Linked DNA regions of Oreochromis niloticus. The protein of the gene in region 1 interacts with the protein of each later gene in a pairwise test. Links are inferred from orthologs where the notes say so. Each region holds a gene or a part of one and is shown in the gene's direction. Other genes may lie near its edges.

Region 1 (10,400 bases):
GTCTGTTTTCTGTGAGTTGAGACAGATTGCGGTTGAACGTTAGCTCATGTGTGCAACATAGCCGTAGGTCCAGGTGGAAGCATTTACCTCATCAGCGAGCACTTCCAGTATAAACTGCATTTATCAGATAAAGAGAGCCCGACACACCTTAGAGACTCTGCAATTAGAGGTCATTCCTGCGTGTGACAAATCACCAGAGTATGCTTACCTTCATTGACAAAAGAAATAAAGCATGTAAAAATGACTATGCAACCACACACACACAGAGAGCTCAGGTCACTAAACTAAATGCTTCTGTTTATTTTGACTGTTTGAGGTTTGGTTGCTTTTTTCAGTGGAGCTAAACTTGCAGTAGTTCCACCATACCCCATAAACAACTACGTCAGGTAAACTAAAGGCAGCTGTAACATGAGTATGAATCCCTGTAATTAATTCATGGTGCTCCTGTTTTCTCTCTCTTTCTCACACTCTCTTTGCAGTGAGCGCACAACAAAACCCAGCTGGTAAACACTGAAAGAAGTGAAAAAAGAAAAATCTAGAGCAGGAAGTAGTCGTTCCCATCTATAAATAGACTTTTTTGTTCTAAGATTTTGGGAAACTTTTGAAATGTCTCCAGAGTGCAAACTTTTCCATGTGGTTCTCTGTTAATGACCTGAGTCAGAATGGATTTAACCGAAAAGGATGTTGTGTTATCTTCTGAATCACAAAGCTCCCTGTGAATGTGTACGTGTGTGTGTGTGTGTGTGTGTGTGTGTGTGTCTTATGCGTGACGCATCTTTTTAGAAAATTTATGTGATAAAATCTTCCCCAAACCACTGTGAGACTGTAGGCGACTGAGACTGATGTCATTACAATGAATCAGCAACAGCAGATTCTGGATTTACTGTAAAAGCAGCACCATCATAATGTAACTGTACATGTAGCTGCTGTAAATTACTCATTGTGTACTCATGTCCTGTTAATTTACATTTTTTCCAGAAAGGAAGAAACCCAGGGAGACGAACGCCGACGAGGAAAAGTCTTTTGAAAACGGAAAAGGAGGAGAAGAAAGAGAAGAAAGTCCATTGCGTCCCCCGGACATGAATCCCGTCATCAACTCAACATCGAGTGGCAACATGGCCCTCATTAGTAACGCACTGGCAGCCTACACTTACGTATTAGGTCGGGTAACATTGTTCTGAAATCTACTGTAACATCACATGTATAGCGTAATGTCTGGCAGTTAGACTTTTAGAGATCTTAACTGCATCTGCTTACGGAGTGGCCCCACAGTGTAAAGGTTAATGCATTCACCTTGCAGCTTGGATAAATGGGAGGGGTGCACCAGGAAGGGCATCCGGCGTAAAATCTGTGCCGAATCGAAATATGCAGATCCAACCGCTGTGGCAGCCCCTCGGGAAATAAGGGGCGGACGAAAGAAACTTGATCTCTTTGGGAAAGAGATACAGTTAGCAAACAAAAAGGCTGGACCTCTGTGTTCAAGAGCATTATCAGCTCCTGGTTGCTTCTTGGCCCATGAGATTAGTGACCACGGGACTGCACTGCATGGATTGATGTGTGTAAAATCCCCGTTTCCCATTTCTTGTCACTAAAAGGTGGGTAAATGTGGGCCAGAGGATGTAAGCAGAGATAATGTCTCTATACATTACACAGTGTGGGTCACCTGCTCTAAGCAGCTGCTAAAACAGTCACTGAAATAGTTTGCCTGTTTCCTGCTATAAACAGTTTATACATAGTGAAATGTGCAGCACAGAAGGTCAAATAAATACACAAGGCATGCAGTGAACATGAGCTTAGGTGGTTACTTAGATCACTTAGCTTTTAGCTTTCTTTTAAGGTTTCCTCAGAATGCAAAAAAGGTTGCACGTTATGATTTCAAGAAGAATTCTCAACGTCTTAATGGTACAAGAGAAATGAAATTGATTATATTAATGAACAATAATATAAACAGAAGTATCTGCAGCTAAGCTGGATGCAGAATGCAAATGCAAAGTACCTGCATGCAAAATGCAAGGAAGACATGAAGGATTCAAAGCTGAAAATGGCATTCATTCATTGAAAAGGGAGAGCTGTTCTCGTCTCGTGCAAATGGAGCTAGAGTCACTTTGGTTTTTTCAGTGGTGAAACACAGATCCCATCAGAGCTGTGACATCTGTTGAAGATGAAAACCAGGAGTAGCAGAATCTGTAAGACATCTTAACTAAACCAAGCCACGTGAACACTTGCTGTGCAGACAATGTTCATTACACTGAGTGAAACGCATCTGGCTAAACAGGTCAGGAAAAAATAAGAAACCCAGTGAGAAAGACTCAGCTTAGTGTTCGACACATTTTCCTCATAAAGTCAACTAACAAGTTCCAATTTCTCTTCTACAACAGACCACCCAGAGAGGGCTGCACTATTCTTTGTCTGCGGTGTGTGTTTGGGCCTCTTCCTCACCCTCTTTGCCCTGGTAGTACAGATCTCCTGTCGCACCGACTGCCAGCCCCGCCAGCGGCCTCCCGCCAAGAAACGACCGCGTCCTCCCGACTCATCCTCCGATTCCAGCGACTCGGACTCAGACTGGGACACCACCTCAGATCTGTCGGCGCGGAGACACCGGCGCTTTGAGCGTACGCTCAACATGAACGTGTTCACGTCGGCGGAGGAGCTGGAAAGAGCACAGAGGCTTGAGGAAAGGGAGCGAATCATCCGGGAGATCTGGATGAACGGACAGCCGGACATCCCAGGGACACGGAGCCTCAATCGATATTACTGAGGACTGCAGAGGAACGATTGATAGGCGGCTTACTTAACTCGAACAAAAATTTAGAACACACTTGGGTTGGAGTGGAAAGGGACAAGGCCTCGATGAAGCTTTATAAGCATGAATGCAAAAGCAGCTGGACTCATACTGATGAGAAAAGTCGAAGGTACTGCAGACTTTTAAAGAAAGTCCTCCTTCTCTGCTGATTTGCATATTCCTCTGGGTATCATAAGCTATTCCCCTTTTGAGTAAAACAATAAGCTCCCTTTCTGTATGGTAAGCTTACCTCTTGGCTGGAGGAAGCAAGAGGTGAAAGGCTGCACTGCCTTGCCCATGACCTCCGCAGGCCTTTTTGAAGTGGGGATTTATGGGTTAGCTGCCTTAGACATACATAGGCCTGCAGAGACTACATGGTGACTGAAGGACCAAGGCCTCAGACAGGTCTGTTTATACAGAACCCCAGGCAGCTGGAAGAGACTGTGACACTTACAGCTTTATGTTCTGTACCCTCCAGTATTCAAGTGTGAACTTTAGCAGAGGGGTAGCATAAAGCAAGTGCACTTGACAATGTAAGATAATCTTTCCACAGTGAATAACCATGCTGCCTTTTGAGCTTTATAAAACCAAAAGATATTTTTGTGGGAATTCATCTCAGCCCTTCTGAAATATATTTTAAAATATTTAATAGTTTATTAATATTGCGTATTTTTGTTGTCAAGTATGGTTTATTATGAGATATTTTTATACTTGGCGAAGGTTGTCTGGTCTAGCACCTCAGGGATGCAATCCTAGTGTTTCTGTGTTTGGTTGATGTTTTTTTTTTTTTTTTTGGTTATTAAGAAGGGGATCGGCCCATTTAAACCGCTGTGCCAGCATTTAAAGAGGAGAACTAGAAATATCATATAAAGAGCCTCAAAGAGGTTTTAGTGATTTTAAACCTTATTTTTGATACAGTATGTTTAACTCACAGTGCAGTGCCTTTTCCAGCTGTTACATCTCTTTGTCAGAAATGAAGCTGATGAGTCTCTCTGTAACTGGTCAAATTATTTATTGATTGGAAATCATAAATTCATCTCGTTGTATGCATATTCCCTTTGCTGAGGTGGACCATGCGTAAAAGCTGAATGCGTCTGTTAAACATTGCACTTCTCCCCAGATGTAAATGTGCATTACCAGTAAATGCCAATTTCTATCAGTGACTTTGCTACAAAATATTTTTATGGTCTTGTCTCATGACAGATGTGTGAATTTCAGGTCTTGCGCCATCCATGTATTCATTTCAAAGATGCTAAACAGATGCCTGTGGAAACCAGCGCTGCAGAAAGTGGCGAATCATGTCGCCACTTTAATCTTATAACCAGTTGACAGTCCAGTTCTGCTCGTGCTTCCCTGACTTCAAGCGTAGAGTTAGTTTTCATAAATCAGTTTGGTATTTTTCTGAGCATAATTAAAGAGTAAACAGGACATATTAAGGTCATCTTCACAACACTCCCTCCACCATACATACACCCTGCACTTCTCCTAGTTTTTTGTTTTTTTTTTAATAACAAAGATATTTGTTGTGTTTAATTTTGAATGGGATTAAAATGTGCCAATAACTGGTGACGTGAGAGACCAAAATATGACTCCTGTGCTTGGAATAAACTGTGTTAAAAAATAACGTCTTTTTTTTTCCTTCTGCACTTTCTTCTGAAAAAACAAGCTGCAACTGTGTACATTGACCTATATTTTTGACTTTAAGACTATATTGTGAGTCTCAGGAAAAAGAAGACGCTTTAGCCTAATTCAAGGACTGAGAATACAGGGAGTTCATAAATAATACTGATTTACACAAGGAGGCCATAAGACAGCATGAAGAAGAACTCGTGAGCCAGTGGCTCACTGGATCTGTAAGATTTGTTATTGAGCGCCACCTTGTGATGAAGACAGATCTCTACAGTGTGTTTTAATGCAGCACATAAGGAGTGAAGTTAGTGACTGCAAATCACTTTGGCTAGCTATACAAAGTCAGCACAACTATATAGATAAATGCATTTGTTTTAGTGGGTATAACATAAAAAAATACTGCATCAAATTAAAAAAAAATAGAAATTATAACAACTTAATATCATGTTATTATATTGTATTTTATTTTTGCCGTTTTTATTTCTTTGTTTCTGTGTTTGCCGCTGTGAATTTCAGTATTTCCTTGGGTTTTTACCGCGAATTTAATTTTGTTTTAGGAAATATTTGCTTTGTTTCCATTGAGACGCCCCTGTCGTTACCATGGATACCATAAACTTACCACGGTGAGAGCTCTCGTGCAATTTTACACACCAACGAAACCTGCTGTTAAATCCACAAATTACACAATTACCACTGCTAACATCTTGTGCAAAGGAGGAGATAAAAAATATATATATATATATATCAAGACTGGAAATGTCTTGTACCTGGAACAGCCACGGACTACCATTTTTACCGGGATATACATTTCGAGATGTGACGGTAAGAATATGATTAAACAAAACTATAGGGTTTGCTTAGTAGTTTGAAACATTAACGATTGACAGAGTTTTACTTCTTTTCTTTTTTTTTTTTTTAAATATTTGTCGATTATTTTTTAATAATGCAGATGTCTTCTTACATTCCTCCACTAGTTAGGTTGTTTAAGTTGCTAAAGTACTAGCCAGCTCTCGAGTGACCTTTAAAACATCCCGGATGTTCTCTAAAGAGTCTTTGATAATTATTGGTTCTTTTATAAGGTTATTTTATTTTACCAAGCCCTAATAAAAATGAACAGCAATGCTCTGAATCATAATAACACATAATTATTATTATTTTTTCATAAAATTAACAAATTCACTGTTGACAGTTAACACAGAGAGAATTTATCCCAGGATTGTTGCTATCCATTCTTGCTATACTTTAGGGATGTTATTGTTATTTTGTCTTCCTACAGGCATAGCGCTCAATACTTGATCTACAGTACTGTTCAGTAGTCTTGAGCCACCCCTCGGAAATGAGAAATGGGTGCAAGAATGTATTGGAACATGTGCAAACATACATGGGAATACAGTACTGAAGGCAAAAACTGAGTTTGTACAATTCTAATCACCCTGAAAGTCAATATTTGGTCTGAGCACCTTTATTCTTCAACACAAACAGAACTCTTAGGCAACAATGCTTGTCATTTCTTTAAGTAGTGTTCGTGAATAGTTCCCCAGGCCTCTTGGGGGACATTTAAAAATCTTCTTTGGATTCTAGCTGCCTTTTGTTACATTAACAGGGGTGGTAGCTCAGGAGTTAGAGCAAGTCATCTACTAATTGGACAGTTAGTGGTTTGATCCCTGGCTACAAGTATGGCCAAATTTCCTTGGGTAAGATACTAACCCCAAGATGCTCTCCAATGTGAGTGACTGGTTTATAAAAAGCACTTGGGTGAATGATGTTGGATTGTAGGGAGTAGAAAAATGCTATTTAAAGAATTATCAGAACATTGAGGTCTGGACTCTGGGGAGGCCAGTCTATCACTGATTGTGCTCCCTTGTGTATTTTTCTATCCAGTTATGCCTTCACCGCATTGGAAGTGTGTTTTGGCAAAAAACAAAAAACAAAAAAAAAGGTTTCGGCAATTTTATGGATTGACATGATTGATCAAACTCGGTTCATAATTCAATTAATTTTGACACCGCTGTCTGAAATTCAGCCCCAAACCACAACAGACCTCCACTGTGTTTTGCTCACGGGTGCCTAATAAACTGTGTTTTCTGTGTTCTGTGTTAATGGGAACAGATGATGTGTTTTTGTGACAGTATACTAGTAAGATAACTAGAGATATATTTTTAGATTGTTATGTTGTAGTTTTCTGCTATGTGTAGACAACACTGGCTCATTGCTTGAGTTAGGTGTCTTTTTTAATGCTTCAGTCATTCATAGGTCAATGTCAAGTGAGTTAACAATTAAAGAATTCCTCTAAAAATGGTCAGGAACAAGGACTTGAATTAAAATCCTTGAAAAAGCAGCCAATAGAACAACGTTAAAAGACCTTAAGAAAGCCTGGAGAATTATTGGCTACTTGGAACAAAATATACACAAGGGGTGGCTCAAGACTTGCACAGACTACTGTAACATTGGACAGAACACTCCCATATTGGTATTTAAGTGTAAACCACATCAATTAGTGATAAGTGCTTCATATAATTACATTTCTGTCTGTATTTACCTGAGCTAATTTATTTCTTCCTCTGTGTTTGCAGAAGTCAGCCTTCCATCGACCCCAAACTCTGAGCTATAGGAATGGTTATGCTCTGCCCCGACGTCCCACTGTGGGCATTGGCAACGACCCTCTTTTATCAGAGCAGCTCACTCAACAAGAGATTAGTGAGTTAGCCTTCGAGACACCTGACCTTACTTATGGCCCCTTTGGTAAAAGAGTACATGAAGACTTCCTCCCTGCTCATGTGGCCCTTGACAAGAAGGTTTGGTAACACCTATAGTTGTAAAACTCATAAAAACATAAAGGTTCTTCATCTGTTATTCATCACTACCACCTGTCTTGCAGGCGCTGCGCTACTATGGATATTTTATGGAGGCTATTTTGTATTCCCCTGAAGAAGAGTACCGTGTACGCCCTGTGGTAATTTACTATTACCTAGAGGATGACAGCATTTGCATTATCGAGCCCACAGTAGAGAACTCTGGGATACCACAGGGAAAGCGGATCAAACGCCACCAGTTGCCCAAGAATGAACGTGGAGAGCATTACCATTGGAAAGATCTCAACCTTGGTATGGACCTGGACGTGTATGGGGTCAAATACCGCATTACCCAGTGTGATACCTTTACTAAGGTACAACCTTATGTGTTTGAATGCTGTGGAAATGAAACTATGCATTAGAAGTCTGCTGTTATAAATACACTTCCTGCGTGTTCTGATCTCTCATTCTTTGTACAGGAATTCATGGAAAGTGAAGGCATGATTGTAAATGACCCTGAGCTAATGCCAGCGGATCCTTACATCATGCGTCGTGAAAACCCTCCACCGTGTCACACTACACCTTCCACATTTGATAATTTGCACAAGTTTCTCAAGATGGACCGCAAGGTAAATGAAATTCTGTCCTTTCCAAGCTGACTGTGTTACATTTATCACGTTTAGCACTGTCACATCACAGCAACGTCCAAGGTTTGAATCCACCAATCTTGATTTGTGTTAGAGTTCTAATAAGTGTTAGAAATTAAATTCCTGGATTGGGTATCCCTGCCATGAAATAAATGGCAGATATAATAGAGGCATGCCTGTATTTGTAGTTTCATTCTTCTACACTTTTTTGGTCAGGTGTTACGCTTCTTCGCTCTGTGGGATGATGCTGACTCTCTATATGGGGAGTCCAGGCCTGTTACCATTCACTATTACCTGGTGGATGATACAGTGGAGATCGCAGAAGTCCACCAACCAAACAGTGGCCGGGATCCCTTCCCCATCCTGATGCGGAGGCAGAGACTACCCAAAAAGATCAAATCAGGTTTCATACAGTACTGTGCGTTTGTTAAATGTGCATTTAACTGACTTGATTTGATACAGTGCAGTAAAGTGAGTTATGTCATCAGTTAAGTTTTTTTTTCTTTCCTACTTTATGTATGACATAAACGGCTTTATGAAATGATGACAAAAATGATGACATGTTATGTAAAAAGATTAATTACACTGGCTTCTACAAAGTACTCGGTTTTCTAGATACATCAAAAATACTGTGGGACTGTGGTAATATTTTGTATATTTAATTTTTACATTGGTGTACTCTTGTTTATTTGTAGAGAACTTCCCCAGTGCAGTGATGGAGGTCTCAAAGGAAGAGGTGGATGAGTATTACTCCCCAAAAGACTTCCAGGTGGGTCAAAGGATGAAACTACTGGGGCGCAACTTCCTGCTTTATGACTGTGATGGCTTCACTAAAGAATATTACCAGAAGAACCACCCGGAAATGGAGATGAAGTCCATAGAGATACCAAAGAAGGCTGATATCCCTCAAGACAGGAAGAAGGTAAATTGAACTGTATATTTAACCTATTTTTGTTTTTTATGTTAGCAAAAATTTTATCTAAACTGAAGCCCATCCTGGAATGGGATTACACCACGATTATAAACTACATCCATCTGTGAATTTGACTTTCATGATGTCAGTGATACACCTGCATCTTACACAGTGATGACGCATCATACTGACAGAATCTGTCTACAGATAGTCATATAAACACTTGATAAAGCTCTAAAAACTACCTTTGAAGAGGTTCCTGCTATAGTAAGTGTCTCAAGGACCTAATTTTGCCATGACTGCATACACACAGACAGATTCAGAAGGTAATCTGTATCACTGAGGAGGCATGATTTATACTGCTTTAAGCCAGACCAGTTCAAAGTGATAGGAAGGCAATAGTAGCTCAATTAAGCAGACGGACTACAGCAGCAGAAGTGTATATGTTTTTGTACATTATTACTTTGTGTCCATTTCCTTCTCTCTTTCTCCATGCTGTCCATTCTTACAGACAATTCCTCCCTACAATGGTTTTGGCTCACTTGAGGATTCTCTTCAGAATTGTTTGCGTCTGATTCCCGAGCCTCCCAAAGTGAACGTGGTAAAGATGCTAGAGAACAACCATAAAGTGTTGCGCTACAGTGCCAGACTGGTGAGCAACATTTAGCAGAGCATTTGTAGCAGTTTAAACAGAAACACTGCAGATTAGAGATATTTTTACTCCTCAGTAAAAATTTATTTAAAAAGGGGTGATTATGCAAAAACGCTATTTTTATTTTTACACGTTGGTTAAGCCCGCCTATGTTGCATTCCAGGACTCCCAGAATCCTGAAGATGAAGACCGCCGTTTCATCCTGTCCTACTTCCTGTCCAATGACATGATCAGCATTTTTGAAAAGACCACACGCAACTCTGGTATCATTGGTGGAAAGTTTCTGGAAAAGTCCCGTGTGCCCAAGCCGGACTCTACTGTAGACAAACCTGCGTACTACTCACCTGCAGACTTCGCTATCGGGGCCACTGTGGAAGGTAACAGCTGAAATCCTATGTTAACCAGGACTGGGAAAACAAACATGCCACTATCCCAACTTTTTTTAAGCGGGTTTCTGACTTCAAATTGAAAATGATTATATATGCATTTTTGTACAGTAACATTTCTCAGTTATGACATTTTAAATGTTATCTTTAGTATATCAAGATTATAAAATTTACCTTTTCCCTTTTTTTTTTTCCCACTTTCAGTTTTTGGTCACCGCTTTGTGCTGACTGATGCCGACCACTACGTGCTCAGATACTTGGAGTCTAACTGGAGTGACATCCCTTCCAAGATGCTGGATTCTTTGCGGCAGAAGCTGGGTGTGGAAATTGAAACTACCCAGCCACCTGACCAAGATGGGAAAGACTATGCCAGCCATTTAAACTAAATTATTTGTCAGTGATACCTTTGACCAGGTAGGTATCTCTTTGGAAAAAATAGATGCTAATTAGTTCATGCTCATCCTAATTGCCCCCCCCGCCCTTCTCATTATCAGGTGAAGCAACAGAGCAGTCTCTTTGATGTGAAGAATTTCCTTATTTCAGAGTTCTTCTTCTGCAATAAATCTACTGTAAATCAAAGCCTTTACTAAAATTTCCTT
Region 2 (10,207 bases), on another chromosome or scaffold:
GGCACTGCATTTTGAAACTTCTACATTAGCATTTTGGCTGCTATGATACATTTTTAAAGCCAAAATTTGCCATATGACCAAGAGGGTCAAGCGCTAGGTTATCAGTTAGAGGTGCAACACATAAAAGCACAAATCTGTTAATTACTTCTAAGTAACAGACTAATTAAGTACTAATATTTCAATCACCAAAACTGGAGCACTGACTTCTTCGGCTTGCTGTGCTGCACAGGAAGCCATGTCATAAAATTGCATTAAAATGCTCCAAAAAGGCACCAACAGCGCAAACACAGTACAAAGGTCCCGTTCAGTGGCTGCTGTTACTTGAGGTGAGGCCGGTGGCAGGGACACGTGTCAATCAAAACAGCCTCGTCAGTTTCCAAATGAGAGATTGCTTTTTTACTATCCTGTAAATGTGTTCTTATCCTGGCTCAATTTGAGGTTGCTGCTTGATTCATAAAGAAAATTGCAGACAGTTACTTCCTTTAATCTTGCAATGGTGTTATGCAGGGATCACTGAAACTCAGCTGGGATTTTGTAGGAGCATTAAACTCAGTGACTTCCTGTCGGTTGCCCACAGCTGGCCACGTGTAAAATTTTCCTGAAGGATCACCCAGCAGCAGAAACAATAAGACCTCCTTTAAATTGAGAGTGATGTGCTCATTTACGCATGTGGCACAGCAGCAGTAACTTAATTAAAGGAATCAGTCAGGATGCAACAGAAAATAATGTTGTTCTGCACATCCGATCTATACAGTGGACCTGCTGGTAATAAAGCCTCTGAATGAATCCTGACCTCTGAACATTGTTAATAATGTATAAATCATAACGCATAAAATTTATACTGCTTTAATTGTGATGTGGAACAAAGGATTGTGGAAGTAAACTTTTTAGCAGCTTGGATAAATCTGAGCCTCTTCCCGACCAGGTCTATGTTCTTTTTCTTGGCAGGTACTCACTGAGCATGTCGTTATGGTGTCTGACTATTCAATTAGGTTTTAAACCAAATATCCAATCAGCCAATCACACGGCAGGAAGTCAGTGTATTTAGGCGTGTAGACATGGTGACCTGCTGAAATTCAAACTGAGCATCAGAAAGGAGACGAAAAGTGATTTAAGTGACTTTGAATATGGCATGCTCATTGGTGCCAAATGGCCTGGTATGAATGTTCACAAACTGCTGATCTGCTGGGATTTTCCCAAAGAACCATCTCAAGGGTTTACACAGAACAGTCCAAAAAAGAGAAAATGTCTACTGAGTGGCTTCAAGCTGAGAAGAAGCTGAGGCTGAGAACAGGAAGCTGAGGCTGAGAAGGGTCAGAATTTGGCATAAACAACATGAAAGCATGAATGCATGCTGCCTCGTATCAACTGATGGGGGATTCATGCTTGTAAGGACCATAAGGGCAGTACCGTCAATTCCTCCTATACATTTGTCCACTTGTTTCTTTTTAAAAAGTGCAGAGAATAATCATCATCTCAATATAAGGACTAATTATCCATCCATCTATCCCCTTCTGCTTATCCTTATCAGTGTTGTGGGAGGGCATATAAAACACTGGGACATTACCACATGGTAGTTAACACATAATGCACCAGCACCGGCATAAATACCAGCAATGACGTTGGCTGCTTATGTACGTTAAGTCGTAGGCTCTGCAAAGATTCGCTGCAGAAGTCTAAATACGGCGTCAGGCTGGTGGTGGTGTGGGGGATATTTTCTTAGCACATGTTGGGCTCCTTAGCACCAGCTGAGCATTTAAATATCAAAGCCTACCTGAGTACTGTTGCTGACCATGCCCACTGTACTAAGCCTCCAGAGTCAGCAGATCTCAATCCAAAAGAGCACCTATGGGATGTCACAGAAGGGGAGGTTTGATAGTGGATGTGCAGCCGACAACTCTGCAGCCACTGTGTGATGCTGTCACATCAACACGGCAAAAATCTCTGAGGAATGTTTTGAGCACATTGCTGTAATCTGTGCCATGAAGAATTCTTCCTGTCAAAAGGAAGTTTTTCCTTCCCACTGTCACCAATTGCTTGTTCATAGGCCATTTGATTGTTTGAGCTTTCTCTGTATTATTGTAGGATATTTGCTATAATAGTATAAAGTGCCTTGAGGTGACTACTGTAGTGATTTGGCACTATATAAATAAAATTTAACTGAAATCTAAAGGCAAAAAGCGATCCAACCCGGTACCAGCAAAATGTACCCAATAAAGTGGCTGGTGAATGTATACCTGAGCAGTTTCTTTCTATTAAGGAAGTTCTGACTTGTTACACAAAAATGCTTTACATCCATGCCAGCAGCTCTGTGAGGCATATACTACATACAAATACTAATAAACCGATATTTAAGAGGTGTAATATTAATCATCCTTAACTAACAGAAACTTTATATCAGTGGTGATTAAAGTCAGGATAGTTTTTCATCATGAATCAGGCAGCCTTTTGTTGATTTTTTATTTATTTATTTATTTATTTTATAGAGATGGGAGCTCTGTGTGCATTTAAACATTGTTTATGATATACTTCCCCTTTTCCTCCATGGGTCATATTCTGTTTGCTTGTTTGTATTACTGAAAAAAATTATATTGGTAATAGGGTGCTGATATTCAAAAAAAGAAAAAGTATGTGTGATCAAATCAAAATTCACACAGTCATCATTTTAAAAATACGCTGCTCCCATCTGAGCAGCTCGATCCACTGGGACTAACACATGCAGACCCTTTACAGCAGACAGACTTCCATAATGAATAAAGCGAGAGATTGACAGCTCCGAGCTCGCACAAGACCCCATTTTAAGCGGTTGCCATGCCAGCTTCACAGCAGTCAGTGACTCCATGTTACACCACAAGCTCTTAGAGCGGCTCTATGAATAATTCACCACCTTTAAGAGCGAAGGAGAGTCCTTGCTAGCAGCATTTTGGGGAATTTATTTCAAACATTCAAAAAGCTGTCACTTTGACAACAGCCGCGACTAACAGATTCCCACCGCCGTTTGAAGACGACGACGGTCCCCGACGAGGCTGTTTTAATAAAGAGAGCAGAAAGCAGGTCAAACCTCCCACAATCCTCTCTGCTGCATCTTGTCCTCGTTTGCAATTCCAATTGAGTGTCGTTAACAATGATACAACTAATCACTTATGAATGGAAAAATCGCAGAGGCGACGCACAGGAGCCGTCGTTTTGGGGATCAACTACCCCACGTAGGCAAGGAAAAGAAGCATTTTAGTCACCCACATCAATCAGAGAGCGCTCGCATGTTTGAATAAAGTGTTTCAGTTCAAGTGAATCTTCAATCAGTGCACTTGCCTACATGATTCATTTACATCTACAGCAGCAGCAGCAGCAGCTCTGAGGAGTAAGTGGGTGATAACCTGTTGCATCAGTGTAACATACTTGTTGCTTTTTAGGTGGAAAAGCAATCAGTGTAGCCTATTTTATTCATTTTTGTCCGTTACTAAGGGCAAAAGAGCAGGGATAATTAAATGGAGGATCTACAAAAAAAGCAAACACATATGAAAAAGACTTTTTAATGTAATATACTCTGATTTATAACCTTTCTGCTTCATTATTGATTCTTAAAAGGTGCAGCAATGCAGCTATTTTTCATCCTCATAGGGATTATTCAGTTTAATGTATTGCATTCTAATATATTTAGATTTAACAGCTATTCACTGACATATTTTTAAGCAATATGGCCAAAATTTTCAGTAGTTACAGAAACTCAAGTGTGAATATTTACTGGTTTTCTTTAAACTGAATAGCTTTAGGTTTTTGACACTGGCATGTAACCAATAATCATTTTGTTGAAGCTCTTAAATTAATTATAATGCATTTTTTCTTTTCTGCCTTTTAAATTTTTTTCCGTCATTCTCATTAGATCCATTGTGGGGTAAAAGAGAAGCCATGCATAAGGCAGGACTTCATTTTACGCATCAGAAAGGAAACAAAAGAAATAAATAGATAACCAACAGATCCAAAAGCGCACAAATGCAGATACAATTCATTCACAAAACTCTGCAATATTCACAACATACTCAGCATCAAGAAATCTGCCCGTAACTGCTGGATTCTGACCTGATCTGAATAATCTAAGCTGCATGGGTAATCTCCCAATTGAAGACCTTGCCTAAATGTTCTATAATTTATGCAGAGGCTGTCATTCATCACATTGGTACCTCACCATAAATAAGAAAATGCTATGTAATCAGATACTTGTTTTAATGTCACCACCCACTGTGATTTAAAAGCATCCTAATTGTACTGATTCTTTAAGGAACTAAACATAAGAGGATAACTTGATCCTGCTGGTGTCCAATAATCCACACCAAACACCATGTCTGGATATAGAGCACATTTTTATTCACCTGAAGTAGTTTCTTCAGAAATTTACCATGAAAAGCTTCGATAAATGAGATATCTTCACACCTCTGACTCATGCAGCGATACCGGTAAGCAACTGCAGCAGGGCTTCAACAGATAATCCCGAGTCTCTAGCTTTAGTTATCCCACTGTAAAGGCCGTTTTTTAGCCTGCTTTACTCGTTTTCGACAAGCTTGCTACCGCTAAATGTTACATCGAGATAACCTAATCTTCCACTACTTGTATAACTGAATTTTCTCACAAGGTAAATAAATTTAAATGCCTTAACAATATTTTGCTAGTGAGTAATCAAACATATAAACACCACTGCAAAAGAAGGCGCCCCGTCTTCGTTGCCCTCCGGTGACAAATACCGCCACAATCCAGGTATTTTGTCACTGCCAGACTTCTGTGCAAGTGATGATAAATTATGCAAATTGACTGGCATTGCCTCCCTGGTGTAAAAACACATCTAAAGTAGGTTACAAACCGTCTGCACTGAAATATTTCTGCAGCAGTAGAAGAGCTGCGCGGGTCAGAATCAAGAGTAAACATGGATTTAGTGTGCAGGCTATCGGGCCTGAGTGTTTGTGTAAGTGCTTGCGTGATAAATAAGAAATGCAGGGAGTTCAACATGGGAGCAATCTGACTGCTGACATTTTCCACTTCTAATATAGAAACGCCAACAAATAATAAAGAGGACACGAGGAAAACCTGTTCTTAAAAGGCGACTGCATAATAAGATTCTGATGCAAAGATGTTTCTTTTATGGATTATATGTTTAACAAAATCATTAAATCACCACATGGAAGCTGAAGTACACATTGATTTTGCACGCTCACACTTTAGAGCAGCCTCTGCTATAAAATGTACATCTACCACAAAGTTGATACGTATCATTTACTGTTATTTATTTAGTAGCTTCCTAGAATGGTAATTTTTCTTCCATTTTCAGCTCAACTACAGTTATTTAGCATAGTGTTTAGTGTGTTAGAGTGTAAGCATGAAGCACCAGACCAAATCATCTGCGTGGTATGCGCAGACTTTTATGTTTTTATCACACGCTGTTACCAGTCAGCACTGCTGGAGCCGCTCTGCGTGTTTCCTCGTGTTTGATATGAACTGTGATTTCTTTCACATTTGTAGTCGCGCTGGAGGAGACACAAAAAATGTGAAACGCAGAACAAAAATAAGCACACACGGACACACATAAACAGTGGCGGCGTGAGTCGTTAGTACTGAGCGACCAGTGGACCATTTTTCCCCTGACAGGAGGCTACAGGCCAAAAGCATTAACCAATTCAAAAGCTGTCCTTCATGACCGGACCACCGTGGACTGTAATTGGTCCATTTCCTTCACAAGGTCCTCAAAGCGAGCGCGCACACACCGCACACACAGGCACGATCAATAAACAATTTGCTAAGACAGAAGGCCTGCCTGTTACCTCGCAAGAAGGAAAGCAGGAGAGAGTCACAGAAATTTACATGAAGCGAGGCCAGCCGCCTCCTTCTCCCCGTCATGACCGGAGATTTCAGACGGATTCCAGTTCACATGAAGCGCTGTGTGGTAAAACAGATGGATCTGGCTGCAAAAAGGAGTTTCATATTCAGACTCACACACGCTGAGACAATTTCACACCACAAAAATTATGGAAGCAACCCTCCCCCCCCTCCATCTGGTGAAAGCATGGCATGCGTGCATGTGTGTGTATGTGTGTGTGAACTAACAGCTAGAGCTGAGCTTTGCACCTTTTTTATCCAAGATAATTAAAAACAGAGTGAAAGAAAGAAAAAGAGCGAGCTTCTGGAGTCTGTACTCCTCTGGTGTTTGCTCACATACTCCCTCTCTCTCCTCCCTGTATGTGACGCTGCCTGCCCACCCACTCTTAAAGAGAGAGAGAGAGACAGAAAGAGTAGAAGAGACAGAGAGGAAGAGAGAGAGAGAGGAGGGACACGGAGCAGAACAGAGAGCGAGTCTGTTTTCAGCTCCCAGTTCACTGTCGCTCCTCTGCCAGACAGCACTCACCCATCCACCATCACACACTCTCAGACACATTTGCTCTCACTATACCGACAGCTGACAACACCTTCTCATTTCCTCAGCTGCAGCACCGACCCGCAAAGTCAGATCCAAAGGAAAGGGGGGAAGAAAAAGAAAAAAAAAAACTGACTCGATTGGTACCGAGCACACCCAGAGACACACACACGCGTACAGTCGAGCAGACACACCAGCTCCGAGGCTGGGTCGAGGCTGGAGAGGGCGTCTGGAGAATGGAATGGGACCTCAGCAGGATGGAAAGTGAACTGAGGCACATCAACCCGGACCTGCTGCAGCCCAGCAAGAGCTTCAAGAAGCCCTCCTCGGGTACCATCACCCTCAACGTAGGGGGGTTCCTGTACACGGCCCACCGGACCACCCTTGCCAAGCAACAGGGCTCGTTTCTCGAGGAGGTGGCCAACGGTAAGAAGGCGGTCCAGCACACCGATTCCATGGGCAACCCCTTCATCGACAGAGACGGTCCGGTTTTTCGCCATGTGCTCAACTACCTCCGAACAGGAGAGCTCCAGCTGCCCGATGACTTCCGGGAGGCGGGGCTCCTGCGACGAGAGGCCGATTTTTACCGCCTGACTGAACTGGTGGAGGCTGTGGTCGAGTGGGAAACTCAGAGGGCGGCACAGCGGGAACCCGCCTTCCTGGAGGTGACGGATAGCCACGAGAGGTCGCAGGGCCTCAAGGTGTACTGCAGTGACCCCGCCTTCATCGACAAGGTCAAAGGGCGGCTGGTGCAGATCTCCAAGAGCCGCTTGGATGGCTTTCCGGAAGAATTTGTGGTGTCATCCAACGTGATACAGTTCCGACACTTCATCAAGTCGGAGCCTGGCTCGCGGCTCGTTCTGAAGGAGGACAGCACATTCCTGTGCACACTTGACTGTCTGAAACTAGAGACAGTGATGCTAGCACTGAGATCGGGCTTCAAGCTTGTCACCTGCCTTGACAGCAGCAAAGGCTCCGTGGTGGTGGCCGAGGCCCTGCATTTTGTCAAGTAGGATGAAGATGATGAAGGGGGCGGGGAGGGGGAAGATAGAGGGAGAAGAGCCTGTTTCTATATCCACCCTGTGAGGTATTGGTTTGAAAATGTTGTAAGATGTGCCGAGCTGTAATGTGTCATTGATAGAAGAACTGGTGGGTAGGTCTGTCGTACAGGGCAGGTTTTAAATGTTTACTGCACAATAGTGGCTTACACACACACGGGATAAGTTTTTGGGTGATTGTTCTGAGCAGAATGGTATTTTAGCATCACCGTTTGCACTGCTTTGTATTTATAGAACTCAAAATGACCCACATCATCTTGACATTTATAGCATCTTTAACTGCATCTGGTTAGGTATCATGCAAAAGTTTAAGTGACGCGAAAGCCGACAGCGAGTCCTTTCACACAGAAGACGAACGTGTCGAACTGAGGTTTTAAAAACAGCTTTATCAGTGGATTCGTTTCTGCACAAGAACTGCTTCTGCTGCGTGATGTGCACTGCTGTGCCATTCAGCTTTTACTACAGCCTCTGTGTGTGTGTGTGTGTGCGCGTGTGTGTATGTGTGCTGGCGTGCGTGTGCGTGCACTGCTAAACCCACCCCTGTGTGCTGTGTTTAGTTGGTTTAATAGCTTGTGCTCAGTTTATTAGCCTCTCCGGAGCCTGAAGGGACAGCCACAGCTCATTCGGATCGATTCGGATGGACAAAGCAAACTTCACAACCAAATGTTTGAGTTTTAAGTGCAAAGAACTGTGATTATTGTAAGGGCTTTGAATCTAGCATGATGCATGTGCACTAAATAAACTGTGTGTTTGTTAGTGCTGTGAGCCTCTGTGAAGCCAGTGCCACAAAAAAATAAAATGCCTATTACTTTTCAATGTGAGTATTTTACAAATAAAAGTGAGACTAAAACTCTTGGGTCAGAGTGTTTTGACGTTTAATGTCGCTGCTTTTGTGTGACAAACCTCACAAAAACTGCTTCCGTTAATGAGGAAACTTATTTTATACAATCAGGCAGCAAGTCTTAGTATTAGATTATTTTTCTTTCATACAGCAGCTTAAAAGCTACACTTATAACCATTTAGTCCTGACCCTGCTGAACTTACAGTCTGTACAGAGTGAGACTGTTACCCACTGAGTCAGACAGGAGCATTATTAATGTTACGTATCCAAATGGGAGCTATACACAGACTTGGCTCTTGCTTACAGCCAGTACTTTTCCATGCTATAAATGATGCACTTCTGCAGTTCTCCAAACATGTGAAACACTGTTTTCCACATCTGGAAAATTAAAAGGAGAAGGGAGTCATTTTCCACGGTTTTATATGCCGGCCAGTGGAAACCTGTAGAAATTAAAAGGCTTATTCAGAATATTTCCTGTGACGCTGTTCCACGATGTAATGTTCACTTCACGCAGTGCTGCGAAGTAGCTAAACATCATTAACTGCAAAAAAAAACAACCAAGACATAGAAGCAAAAATGTAAGATAGAGGCACAGCAGATCTCAGAAATATAATGTACAGGAAATTCCTAAAGGAGCTTCCAGGGGGTGAAAAGGGTTTCAAAAATGTATTTTAGGGCAAAGTGTGTAAACTGTTAAAGCAGTTTTTTAATGCAGTTTCACATCACTGAAATTATAATTAATTAACAAAACGATAATAAAGTAAATTGTCAGAAAAGTCCAAGACTTGCTTCTAGAAGGACTTTGATTCAATCCGAAACAAAACTCCATAGTTTCATTTGCCTTCTCGCAATACGCCATAAAAACTATCAGAAGGGCAGAGCTAGATTTTTAAAAGTGATTTCTTCAGATACATTTCTTAATGTTTCTTACAGAATTAGAATGCTCTGTATTTGTGGCTGCAAAAAATATCATAAAAAATATCTAAATGGACAAACCTCTCTCTCTTATACAGATACATTAAAAAAATAAATAGAAAACAACAGCAATAACATTAATATATTTATAGCCAGCAAATAGAAGTAATAGTAGTAATAGAAGTAAAAGTCAGTACTTCTCATATTGCTGCAGAGTACGCAGATGTGCTGCTGCGTAAACAGAAACATTTATACAAGTTAAATAAAGAGAAAGATTGACGTGGAGCTCCGATACAAATCTCTGACTGCACATCTACAGTGATACAGTGAAGTTCACTTTGTTTTTACTTCATAAACCCACCAGTGTGTCTGAGTCTGCAAAGTGTAAAAAATTGCAGTGAAGTTTTTAACTAGTGTAATGTTTCGGTAAAGTAATCTGCCAGCCGTACGACAGTTGATTGAATCATAAAGTTGCAAAATATTAAAATAGCTGGAAAAGCTAGGCATGATAGTTCTGTGCCTTTCCACTAATCTACGACTGCATGAATGTGGAGAAACTGGGATACAGAGTTGAAAAAGCAAAAAAAACCTTTCCTATGGCTCAGGTGAAAAATTTAAAAGAGCACTTCTTTAGACTTGCAGGTGAAAAATGAGTACTTTTACTAGCAAAAATCAACCTATAGGCTCAACAAATGTGGCCAATAAACTAAAAGACGCTGTTTTAAATTGATGTTCTGTTTTAACTAATGTGGCTCATATTCTCAAATAAAGTATTTTAATCATTCCTATCATATTTTCTTTCTCTAATATAAACTATGAGTTCAGTGTAAGTAGCTCCAACTTGGTTACAACGCTCATTATGTTTAAAGCAAAGTCTCCCATTATTATGCAACAGCGTCTGTCACACAGTCTAATCAAAACATGCCCTGCTCTCACCCTCACACCGCCTGCTACAGTAACTGACAGCCCAAGTCGTGCTGCCTCCACAGTGCA
Region 3 (10,652 bases), on another chromosome or scaffold:
GACCCTAAACAAATAAAATCATGTGGTTTTAACTGATATAAGATGTGTACCTTCCAGGCCACAAAGGAGTGTTTTAGAAGTTTAACGTCATGGTAACTCTGAACCTCCTCCAGCCTGCTTTTCTTTGCTCTCTGGCTCTGAACAAACTGACACACACAGAGAAAAAAAGAAAACGGACACATTACACATGATTATAATCAAAATCAAAGCAGGGAAGAAAAATCTATCAGCTTTCATAATGTCACTCCAAAGCTTTGGTCTCATTTAGGCAGTCTCATGCTGTCAGAGATGCGGAGCAGAATTTATAAGATACACATTTCCACATCAAAAATCTAATTCTTTCAGTCTTTTTCCAATCTTAAGCCAAAGGCGCTGATTCCTTACGGCACTGACTGAAGTAACAGATGGGGTTCAGACTAGACTAAAAAAAAATTTTAAATAATCACCTTTTTCCATTTTTCTACGGCCAATCTTAAGCAGCGCAAATCACCCTGATGGCAGGCCTGCTGCTCTCTGTTTCTCCTGAAGTAAAACAAATAAACGATTCTATTAGCCGACAGCACATTTAGCTCAAGCCCAAATGATTCAACAGCTTCACCAAAACTTCTTCTTGAGCTTCACCTGTCTCGTAGCTCAGTGCTGTTTTCCTTCCACTGCATCATCGTCCTGTGTAGAAGTGTGCGACGATACAGACTACGTGAAGCCTCCCATTTCTCCACCTCTTTGATCCGCTCTTGTGTGCGCTGCCTCCATCGCGTCCAGGCTCTCTGCTTCTGGCATCTCTCATCATGAAGAACTGCCTGGAAAAACGTAAGTGTTATTTATCACCAATGCGGTGCACCACAACAAAGTTTTCATCTGCAGTTGACGTACCATCCGCTCAGAAAGCATCTCTTCCTTGAGCTTCTCCGACTTCCCCCACCAGGTGTAAAACACCCAGGTGCACTGGCGCCGCCTGACAACACAGTGGACAGACAGATCATTTGGCCATATTCATCCACCTGCTAAGGTTGAAAACTACAAAGTCTACACACAAACCAGTACAAACCAAAGTCTAGATAATGCAAACTGAATGTTCTCCCTCAGATGCCTAAATAAAGTAAATCTGACACTCTGACTGTCTGGGAAATGACTCCTGATCGTGGTGCCTCAGGGCTTGGACACCACAGACAGTTCCATAGAAAACTACCTTTTTGTCTTTGAGTTACAGCCAGAGACCAGCTCCCATGAGCAAAAATGATCCTCAATATGAAATTGGGGTCAATTTGACACAGAAGATGATGTCTGCTTTCTGTTTAAAGACTGTGGTGAATCTGTATGCGCGCATCCCACCACTCAGAATGGGACCAGTGATCTAAAAATAGAGGGTCTAAAAACAGCACCCACACTGAAAGTGGTCCAGAGAAGCCAAAAAAAAAAAAAAAAAAAAAAAAAAAAAGAACTTTCAAGGGGAAAGCAGCCAAATTTAAAAAGGTATATTGTTATTTTATTTTCATTTGAAGAGTTGCATAACTGAAGAGGAGAAAGATGATGACTCACCGATTATAAGCTTCAGCTTTGAGTCTTCTCTGTTGACGCATTCTGCTGTGGAGGGTAAACTCAACCCAAGACTGGAAGCACCGAGGTAGCATATGGTCTACAAACCAAATGTCTGCACGACGCTCCAGTTCCTGTAAAAAAAAAATAAACAAAAAAAACAAAACTTAACAAGTTGATTGTGTTGTGATGCAAAAGCATCTGCATCTCTGCTGTCTTGAGTTGTATTTGAAAATACCTGCATGTGTCTCTGCTCAGCAAGTTTCTCTCTCCAGTGGTGAAAATGTCTTCTAAGCAGTGAAGTGCTGCAACGAGAAACAAAATTCCATTTGTAGCATGGGTGTTACAACAAAGAGCCGTGACTATAGCCCTATGGATTGGGAAATGTATGTAAGAGCACCTGTAGTTACTCAGGGCCATATCTATGAAGGGTTTAAAACTCCGGTTTTCAGCTTCCTCCACACGATCCTGCCATAGTTTCCAGTACTTATGAGTCATCTACAAAAAAAAAAAAAAAGCATTTCAGATGCTTTGAAATCTTCAATGAGAGTAACGCTGACTGTCTGCAGCGTGAAGATCGTAGTGTGTTCATCAGTTACCGTTTGCTGACAATGTTGGATAGCCATATGGTTGTTCAGTCGATATGTTTTGTTCAACACGACATTAAGAGACAACCCTCGCAATCCAGCACGCTGCAATGAGAATGCGCTGTGATGAATACATGAATTGAACATGCTGATCTTTGCTTATGTGTGGGTTCTTTATTTTATTTATTTTTTTACCATTAAATGATGTTGGTAGTGTTGATTTGCTGCATGCTTTCTTTCAGTTTCTTCTCTGCACAATGCCACATCTACTGAAGAGCTCAAGAATCAAACAACAATGCCGATAAATTAAAACTGATTTAGTAGCAGGTAGAAAAACTAGTTTATCCAAGTTTTATCTATTCTACATGTGGATCAGGATACAAGCTCTCCAATGCACCAGTGCTGTGCATTGAATGCTCCGCGTGGCCAAACGGGCTGCTGCTTGCAAACGGGTCTCTTCACTGTGTTTGCGATCGAGAGCATTTCTCCATTTACTCCAACACCTCCTCACCAGGAGGCGAGAGCAGGCACGCTGAGCCAAAGCTGAAGGCGAAACACAAAAGAACAAAAAATAAAAATGTGTTAAGAGATAGCAAAATAATGATGCTTCAAGAATGGAAACAAAGCTGCGTGGGTATTCTATAATGACCTTGTGTTTCTGTCTTGGTGTGGCGATAGGACACATATCTCATCCACTGATGCAAAGCTCTTCTTTTCAATCTGGAGATAAAATGAAACGCAGCTCTGGATTCTTTCTCTTTCTGGCAAGAAGCAGCCGTATGCATCTCTTTCCACTGAAGCCAAGCCTTCAATACAAAATATATCAGGTGACCCATCACCAGAGAGAACACACAGGAGTAATGTACCTCAAGGTTCACTACTCTTTGGTTTTCTTTATACATTTGACCCCGGGAGCATGTCATCCATGGGCATAGTGTAAGTTGACAACCACCTCAGCTTAGATAAGCATTTCAATTCAGTTGTCCAGTCTTATTTTATGCTGCTTAGGCTCAGTAAGAGTTAGTTTTCACAGGATTGTAGTATAACTGAGCTATTTTCCCATTCCTGATTTCTTTTTATTTTTGCACATTTATCTCACTTAAATGTTTCAGATCAAATGTTAATATTAGATAAAAATAATTGAGGTTCATATGAAATGCACTTTTAAGTAATGATTTCATTTATCAAGGACAGAAATAATCCAAACCTACATGGCCCTGTGTGAAAAAGCAACTGCCCCCTAAATCTAATGACTGCTTGTGCCACCCCTGACAACAAGAACTAAAATCAGGTGTTTGCAATAACTGACAATGAGTCTTTCACATCCCTGTGGAGGAATCTTGGCCAACTCTTCTTTGCAGAATTATTTTAATTCAGTCGCACTGGTGCGTTTTGGATCATTGTTCTGCTGCATAGCCCAAGTGCGTCTGAATTTCAGAGCACGAACTGATGGCTGGACATTCTCGTTCAGGATTTTCTGGTAGAGAGCAGAATTCATGGTCCATCACAGAGTCACCACCATGTTTGACACCGTGTAATGTTTCTTTTATGAAATACTGTGTGAGTTTTATGCCAGATGTAACGGGACTCAAACCTTCCAAAGACAGATGGCGGTATGACGTAAATCTACTTGACTTCGTCTGACAGGTTCCATTTCCATTATTTCTTGATTCAACAGGTCTGCCTTGAATCAGGCCGAGGTGTGGCTATCAAAATTGAACTCAGCTTTCTAAAGAATGTGGTTAATCACAGTTAATTTAAAATTCAATAATAACAGATGAAATTATCACTTTATTATTGTTATTATTATTTTTTGTATTTCCTTGGGTCATCTTTATCTAATTAGTTTGACAGATTGGAACAGCCTAACTGAGTAGATCAGATTGCAGAGCTTACTATCATCTTTTAAATCTCTCTTAAAGACATACTTTGATGATCAGGTTTTTACTGTGCCTCTGCTTTGAAGTGAATGTTGTCCTTCATAATTTTTTCTTGGTGATAATTTTTTTATTTAGTCTAATTTTTCATAAATGCTTTTAATTTACATGTTTATAATTTTAGTTGTCTTTATCTTTATAAAGATAAGATAAAATTCGTCTTTATCTACTGCCTTTGAACTTCTTCTACTGTCAGCGTTCCTACACTTTATGTTGTTTCACTTTTAATTCTTCTTAAACATTTTGTAGTTTGTCACTTGGTTTTGAAAGGTGCAGTATTGAAAAAAAGTTATTCTTGTTATTTTTATTATTACTATTAATAATAATAATATTAACATGTGATTCACAGGGGTGTTCGATCATGCCCTTACCCTTTTCTTTAAGGTTAGCGCCCTCTGTTTCTGTGCTTGAACCTCCAAAACGTGAAGGTCTCGACGGTGCTGTAATCTAGTCTGCCACAAGCTCCACACTGAGCTGCAAAACAAAAACAATGGTAAAATCAATATTATGGTAAAAATCATAATGCTACAAGTTTTCATTTGATAACACAAAAATCTCACTGCATAGCTGAGAGCCTGTACTGCTCAAGAGCTGATTCCAGCCTTCTGCTCTTCAGTCTTCTCATCTCTGTGAAAACCTCCCATCTGTCCAACAGCAGACGCATCCGCTGGTTGTCAGCTGATGATAGAAACAAAGTGGGTGATGACACATCAGTGAATTATAAAATCTGACAAACCCCCCCCCCAACATTAGGCTTGAATGGTAAAAGTCACACCAAATGACTGAGCCTTTTGCTGTTGCATCTTCTTTTCCCTCTGCAAACACACAAACATTCGCCAGCTGCGGAGAGTCCAGTTGCACAGGTAATACCTGAAATAAAAGCAGCATGAACACATGAACAGACTTCAGTGAATCAACTATAAAAGTCTTCTATAATGTACTGTAATGACCTGTAGTGACAGTCTGCTCGCATGTTCAGACTCCACTCCCTCCTGGATGACCACCACTCATCTCTCCATCCTTCAAAGGTTCTTCTCAGTACCACTCTGTTATAGTGCGACCTGGAAAACACTGGAATTAGTGAGCAGGTAGGAAAACGAGGGCAACCAAATGGTAAACTTGAAAATGCTTTCAATTTCCAAACAAATGAAACACGTTACTTTGCTTCATGAGGAAGAACTCGGCCAAAGGTGTTCTGTATCCATATCTTCAGAAACTTTCTTGCAAGGTGCCTGCAGAAGTTAAAAGAATGGAGACTTAATTTTCAAGAAGACAGTAACATGATAACAGTGGGTCAAGGAATAGTCTCAGCACCTTATTCTCAGCTCCTTGAGTCTTCCACCTTTGTTCCAGGTGTATCCAACTCTGTAAGCGACCTTTCTGATGTGAACTTTGCGCACTTGTTTTGCTTCACCACGAGATCTGACATAGTTTAAACGGGGTCTTACTGGATCCGAGTTTCCGCCGATACTTTGCATTTTTCAAGCCGCTATTATACAGAGCACCGAATCGCATCACTTCTCAAATACAAGCATCAAAGCATCCGCATTTTACACTTTGAAGGCTGTTGTAGCTTACATGATAAAATTACCTTAATTTATCCTCACGTTAAAACTCTTTACAAAGTGCCGCGCGTTTGTTTTTCCTTATCACGTGACCACTTGGTGTCTTCGATACACAGTTGTCAACAACAACAACCTCTGCTGCCGGTCTGTGGAGACCACACTAAACTGGTTGTGGTAGTTATAAGAGTCACGGTCTGCTTAATAAACTTTTCAATATGGGGTGGTGTTTTTCATACACCTCCCTCTACAACAGTTTAAACTCTGAAATGTTTACTTCACACAGGAAGAACGTACTTAAGGTCCCCTCAGTTTAACGACGATGACACGAAATGTCAGTCGTGGACTGCCCGCGAGGACGGGGTCTTTATTTTCATAAGGACCATCAGGAGACCGGCGGTGGAGAATCACAAATCAAGCGAATCCTGAGACAAAATATGGCTGTCTCTAATAATGCCTGTCACGTGCCTTTTACCGTAGTATAAAAAAAATCACTACAAAGCAATTTACATTTTCAATATTTTATATACATACGTATAAACCAATTTATTTTGAAATTAATTTTCATATATTGGTTTAGATTTTAAAATAATTATCGCCAACGCACACCTGCCAATTTAAATTTTTACAAAGGCGCGCTGGGCACGGCGTAATCTTTGCCAGGACCTTCTTAAAGCGGTGATCAGAGGAAAATTGCTGCTACGACTTAGAAAACAGAGAAAGAGAAGACTATTATTTGAGATTTCACCGGTTCCGTGTGATTTAATTTGTTGTTTTGAACCAGTCTTATTGTGTTAGGTTACCCCTCTATAGTGTGTGCTCCCTGAAATCACAGCGACAACTCTACCGGCTCACGATTTGGTGCTCGCTGGGTGGGCATTTATCCCCAGTCCCCCAGCTAGTTAGCTAGCTCAAAGTGCTAGGCTAGGCTAGCCAGCTAACTAACGTGATCAGCTCGGCCGTTAGCGACCGGCATTCCGCACAGCATTCAAACTGAGTAAGTTTGTCTTTTGCCAAAATTTGACTTGCAAGTCGGTTGTCTACACAACTTTTGTGCCACGAATTCGCCTTATGGTTAACTGTGTGGGACGCTACCATCGTTTGGCTAACCCTGTGTCAATCTCTTGGCTAACTAGTAGCGTTTATTTCCTAAAGCTGAAATGATGAGGAATGTTTTGTATTAAAATGTTTACATGTCTTTAACTCGCTGGATCCTTTCATTGCAGAACGGCTTCGTTTACAACTCAAATGCGATACCCAATTAGTAAATTGATGTAAGCGCTTTGTAATATAATGACCTGTCAGTTCTCAGCTGCTGTCAATTAAATTGCTAATTAGCCAGCAACAACCTGAGACTCTAGAGTTGTTTTTTAACTGCCCGGTGCAGGTAAGCTTCATGAGAGTTCAAGTTTTTCTTCACGGCAACTTTTCTGTAATCTTGTTTTCTCGTGCTGCCTAGTTTAAGATGGCAATACATCTGATATATTTTGCAGCAACAGAAGGAAGCAGGGTTTTTTTTGTTTTAATCTTCGGAACATGCGTCCTTTCATTTGAAGTAATTGGCCTTTAAGACTGTATTTAGTGGCCGTAGTCGAGTATAATTGACTTGTAAATGTTAACTTGTCATCCACAGGTGTAGAGTCATTGGTGGCTGAGACACTGTCTGCTCTGTCTGAAATCCATCATGGAGAAAGATGCCTGTGTAGAGCCTAAGAATGGTGACGCTGCTGTCGACCAGCCTAAGCCGGCAGCCACAGCTCCTTACAGATACACTAAGGTGACAAAATGCCAGCTGTGTCATTGTTTATCAAATTTAGATGTTGCTGTGAATTAAACTAGACTATCAATTTATTTGCAGGAGGAGCTTTTGGAAATCAAAGCGCTGCCAATCTCCAATGAAAGGCCTGAATGTCTCTCTGAGAAATATGACAGGTATGAATTTGTGTAAAAGTCACATTGGGTAATACTGGACAGGAGGTTATGCTTTTCAAATGAGAAAGCATGGGTGAATTCTAGTAAGGAAAAGTACTAGTATTTCTCTATGCTGTGAAATACTGATTTTTGGCACAGATCAACAGTTCTTCAATTGTATTTGTTGCTGGAACTGAAGTGTATGTGATCAAAAGTTACTTTGATTAAACAAGGTTAAGCAGAAGAGTTTCTATACAAATATGTTCACTGTCTTGAAACTAAAATTTGCATAAAGTTTGTAATAATCATTGACATAGTTTAACTGTCCAGAAGACTTGCTCCTGCTTTTTGGAATTCACATGCACTTCCAGCTTGTCTCTTGCTCGGAGCTTATTTAAATTCCTTGGGGTAATTCTTAAACAACAGTCAAAGATTTGTTCAGATGTCTGCTTGAGAAGCAAAACAAACGCTTGCACTAGAAGACTTGTATCTTTGTCCAATAGCTGTTGGAGCCAGGAACAGTAGCTATGACTATATGAGAAGTGGGCTCATTAAAGGGTGGGTCAAGCGGTTTTGGGTGGGGGGGTGGGGGGGTATTTTTAATCCTAAAAAAGACCTCTTTACCCCTTCAAAGCCTACTAGGAGTTGCCCTCGAAGATCTTTTCTGAACTGAGCAGTTTGTCATTATTTTTTAGATCTGCTTATGTTTGCATCCGTTAGTGAGGTAAGGTGTGAGAGTGGTCTCTGCCTAGGCAGCTACCCTTGCTAAAACCTGCAAACAATTTTAGTTGTCATCCAATCACATCTTTATTGATGGATACTGAGGTGTCAGAACTCGTCATTAAGTGTAATGTCTTTATGGGAGAGAGTTAATGAATGACTTCAGATTTTGAAGACATGTACTTAAAATGTGATTTGTCTCAACTGTTGGAAAAATTGTTTATAGTAGTCTGTCATCAGAGTTAAACACTGCTAGTGCAACAGTATCAATTAGTTTATTATTTTGAGGATCTGATTTTATTGCACCCTCTTTTTGGGTTGTATTCTGTGCTCACAGCATAAAGGTTGAAATGGATGGCCTGACCTGTGTATTGTATTTTTGCCCATGCCTATCTTTACTTTACTCATCACAGTAGTCTTGTAATACTCAAATATAAATGTTAAACTTTCAAGATGCAGGAATTGTATCTTTCATTGTTGCTCTTTATTTATTTTTTCCTAAACAGGATCCCAGTTGAGGCTGTAGTTGTCTCTTTATTTGAAATTTATGGGTGGCTTTTTTGTTTGTTTGTTTTAAACAGTGATGGTGTCTGGGACCCTGAGAAATGGCATGCCTCACTATATCCCACTTCAGAGCGAAGCTCACCTGTGGAAGGTTTTAAGAAGGACTACATGGATGACAGAGTTCCATTAAAACGAAGAATCCCAGGTAAATAATTACTGATGGTAGATGGTTATCCTTTCATCTTTGCGTTTCATAACAATGTTGTCTAGAAACTTAACTGTGCTCTGATCAATGAATGTTTAGGATTTTAGGTTCCAGTCTTGCACAAGATTTCTAAACTGCTGCAGTGGAATTGTTCATGTAGTCTATGTACTCCATAAAACAGTTGTTGTTGTTGTTATTATTATTATTATTATTATTATTATTTGGGGTGTGTGTTTCCCTCCCTGTTTTTTAGATCCCCGTGAGCGGTTAAAGGAGGATGACCTGGATGTAGTACTGAGCCCACAGCGACGTAGCTTTGGAGGTGGATGTCAGGGCAATGCTGCCCTTCATATCCGTCGCCCAATCAGCCCCTTGGAAAACAAAGAAAATGACACTCTACGTATGGGAGGGTCACGCAGAATTGGCAGTGGACGCATAATTGCTGCCCGTGCCTTTGAGAGAGAAGCTCGTGCAGAGAAGGAGCGTGAGAGAGACTTGAAGGATAAAAGATTCAGGGTTGGTGTTTGTCACTTTCAGTCAGTGCAAATGTCCTTGCTTTTAGTTTTAATGTAATATTGAATGCACTTACATTTTTTGCAACTTTATTTTACACGATACATTTTTAGTTCAAGGAAAATCTTTTTTTTTTTTTTTTAAACTGTCTAAAAACACAATTTTGTAAGACTTGAGCTAAATTTATAAAAGTGTTTCTGTGCAGTTACTCTTTAATTGTTCCATCCCATATTTCTAAATTGATATTGTTTGTCCCATGTAATCATTTGCAGAGAGATTTTGGTGACAAGCGTGTGTTTAGCGAAAGGAGGAGGAATGACTCGTATGCAGAAGACGAGCCAGAGTGGTTCACGGAGGGTCCCACCAGCCAGTCGGAGACAATTGAGCTTATTGGATTTGATGACAAAATCCTGGAAGATGATAAACGCAAATCTAAGCGTTCAAGGAAGCGGACAGAATCTTTGAAAGAAGGCATGTCAAGACATTGTTAGAAATACTGCCAACATTTTTAGGGACTATTGTATTTCTAGTAGTATTTGGAAAGTCAGTTCAGTAAGACTTCATGTTAAAATTGTGACTTGTATTTAATTTTATTGTCGCACATCTTGTATGCAGTAGTGGAATGTAATGGCGGACAGCCTGAGGAGCAAGATGTGGGTTTGCAGTCGACAGCTGATCAGGAAGTTCCCCACACTGATGTTCTGCCAGAGCCTTCAGCTGGTGACTTCGACTTCAATGAATTCTACAATCTAGAGAAGACCATGCCAGGACTGGCCTCTGTAAGTACTGGGGTGCACTCTGGTTTTGTTTGGCTTAGTGGTTTGAAGCTCACAGATGGGGTGTCATTAGTAACTTCTAAAATATCAGTGTGATTTATTTTTCCAGAAAAGCTTAACAGTAGAGGTTTTCATGTTTGCTCACCCCTGAACCAGACACAACTGTCAACTTAAAAACAAATTATACAATTAAGACTCTTACAAGCCTGATAGTTGTGGCTTTTTAAAAAAAATCGGAATTTCACAAATTGTGCATTTAGTCATATAAAACAAAGTATTGATACTTTGTATCAGTGCAAGATTACCTCTGCTGCACTAGCTTGACCTCACTGAATTTGGTCTTTGGTTGGTGAGTCATGTCACTGAATGGTGCACTATCAATATTCTGTTCTCTGGGCTTT

Evidence for each region. The genes of interacting proteins can lie anywhere in the genome.
Region 2: the proteins of efhc1 (region 1) and kctd4 interact in binary tests that used the Homo sapiens proteins (3 or more experiments, as listed by UniProt). The two-hybrid records come from large-scale screens. The link is inferred for Oreochromis niloticus from reciprocal best matches to the Homo sapiens genes EFHC1 and KCTD4.
Region 3: the proteins of efhc1 (region 1) and eif4enif1 interact in binary tests that used the Homo sapiens proteins (3 or more experiments, as listed by UniProt). The two-hybrid records come from large-scale screens. The link is inferred for Oreochromis niloticus from reciprocal best matches to the Homo sapiens genes EFHC1 and EIF4ENIF1.

The regions. Positions count from the first base shown.
Region 1 is NC_031980.2:12,763,836-12,774,235, forward strand, and holds the start of efhc1 (EF-hand domain-containing protein 1), read left to right. Parts: upstream 1-4,999; 5' UTR 5,000-5,167; coding exon 5,168-5,233; intron 5,234-6,984; coding exon 6,985-7,206; intron 7,207-7,289; coding exon 7,290-7,577; intron 7,578-7,682; coding exon 7,683-7,832; intron 7,833-8,066; coding exon 8,067-8,253; intron 8,254-8,545; coding exon 8,546-8,772; intron 8,773-9,274; coding exon 9,275-9,415; intron 9,416-9,578; coding exon 9,579-9,792; intron 9,793-10,005; coding exon 10,006-10,187; 3' UTR 10,188-10,215; intron 10,216-10,295; 3' UTR 10,296-10,400. Other genes in the region: eva1aa (protein eva-1 homolog C), read left to right, coding at 979-1,161, 2,379-2,758. UniProt on the Homo sapiens protein: Microtubule inner protein (MIP) part of the dynein-decorated doublet microtubules (DMTs) in cilia axoneme, which is required for motile cilia beating.
Region 2 is NC_031987.2:11,321,194-11,331,400, reverse strand, and holds kctd4 (BTB/POZ domain-containing protein KCTD4), read left to right. Parts: upstream 1-6,289; 5' UTR 6,290-6,636; coding exon 6,637-7,413; 3' UTR 7,414-8,314; downstream 8,315-10,207.
Region 3 is NC_031970.2:16,088,512-16,099,163, forward strand, and holds the start of eif4enif1 (eukaryotic translation initiation factor 4E transporter), read left to right. Parts: upstream 1-6,259; 5' UTR 6,260-6,619; intron 6,620-6,871; exon of another isoform or gene 6,872-7,009; intron 7,010-7,155; exon of another isoform or gene 7,156-7,177; intron 7,178-7,255; 5' UTR 7,256-7,306; coding exon 7,307-7,399; intron 7,400-7,480; coding exon 7,481-7,554; intron 7,555-8,834; coding exon 8,835-8,962; intron 8,963-9,215; coding exon 9,216-9,478; intron 9,479-9,747; coding exon 9,748-9,946; intron 9,947-10,090; coding exon 10,091-10,254; intron 10,255-10,652. Other genes in the region: protein SFI1 homolog, read right to left, coding at 51-146, 447-522, 622-800, 874-955, 1,540-1,670, 1,775-1,841, 1,937-2,034, 2,136-2,228 and 9 more. UniProt on the Homo sapiens protein: EIF4E-binding protein that regulates translation and stability of mRNAs in processing bodies (P-bodies). Plays a key role in P-bodies to coordinate the storage of translationally inactive mRNAs in the cytoplasm and prevent their degradation.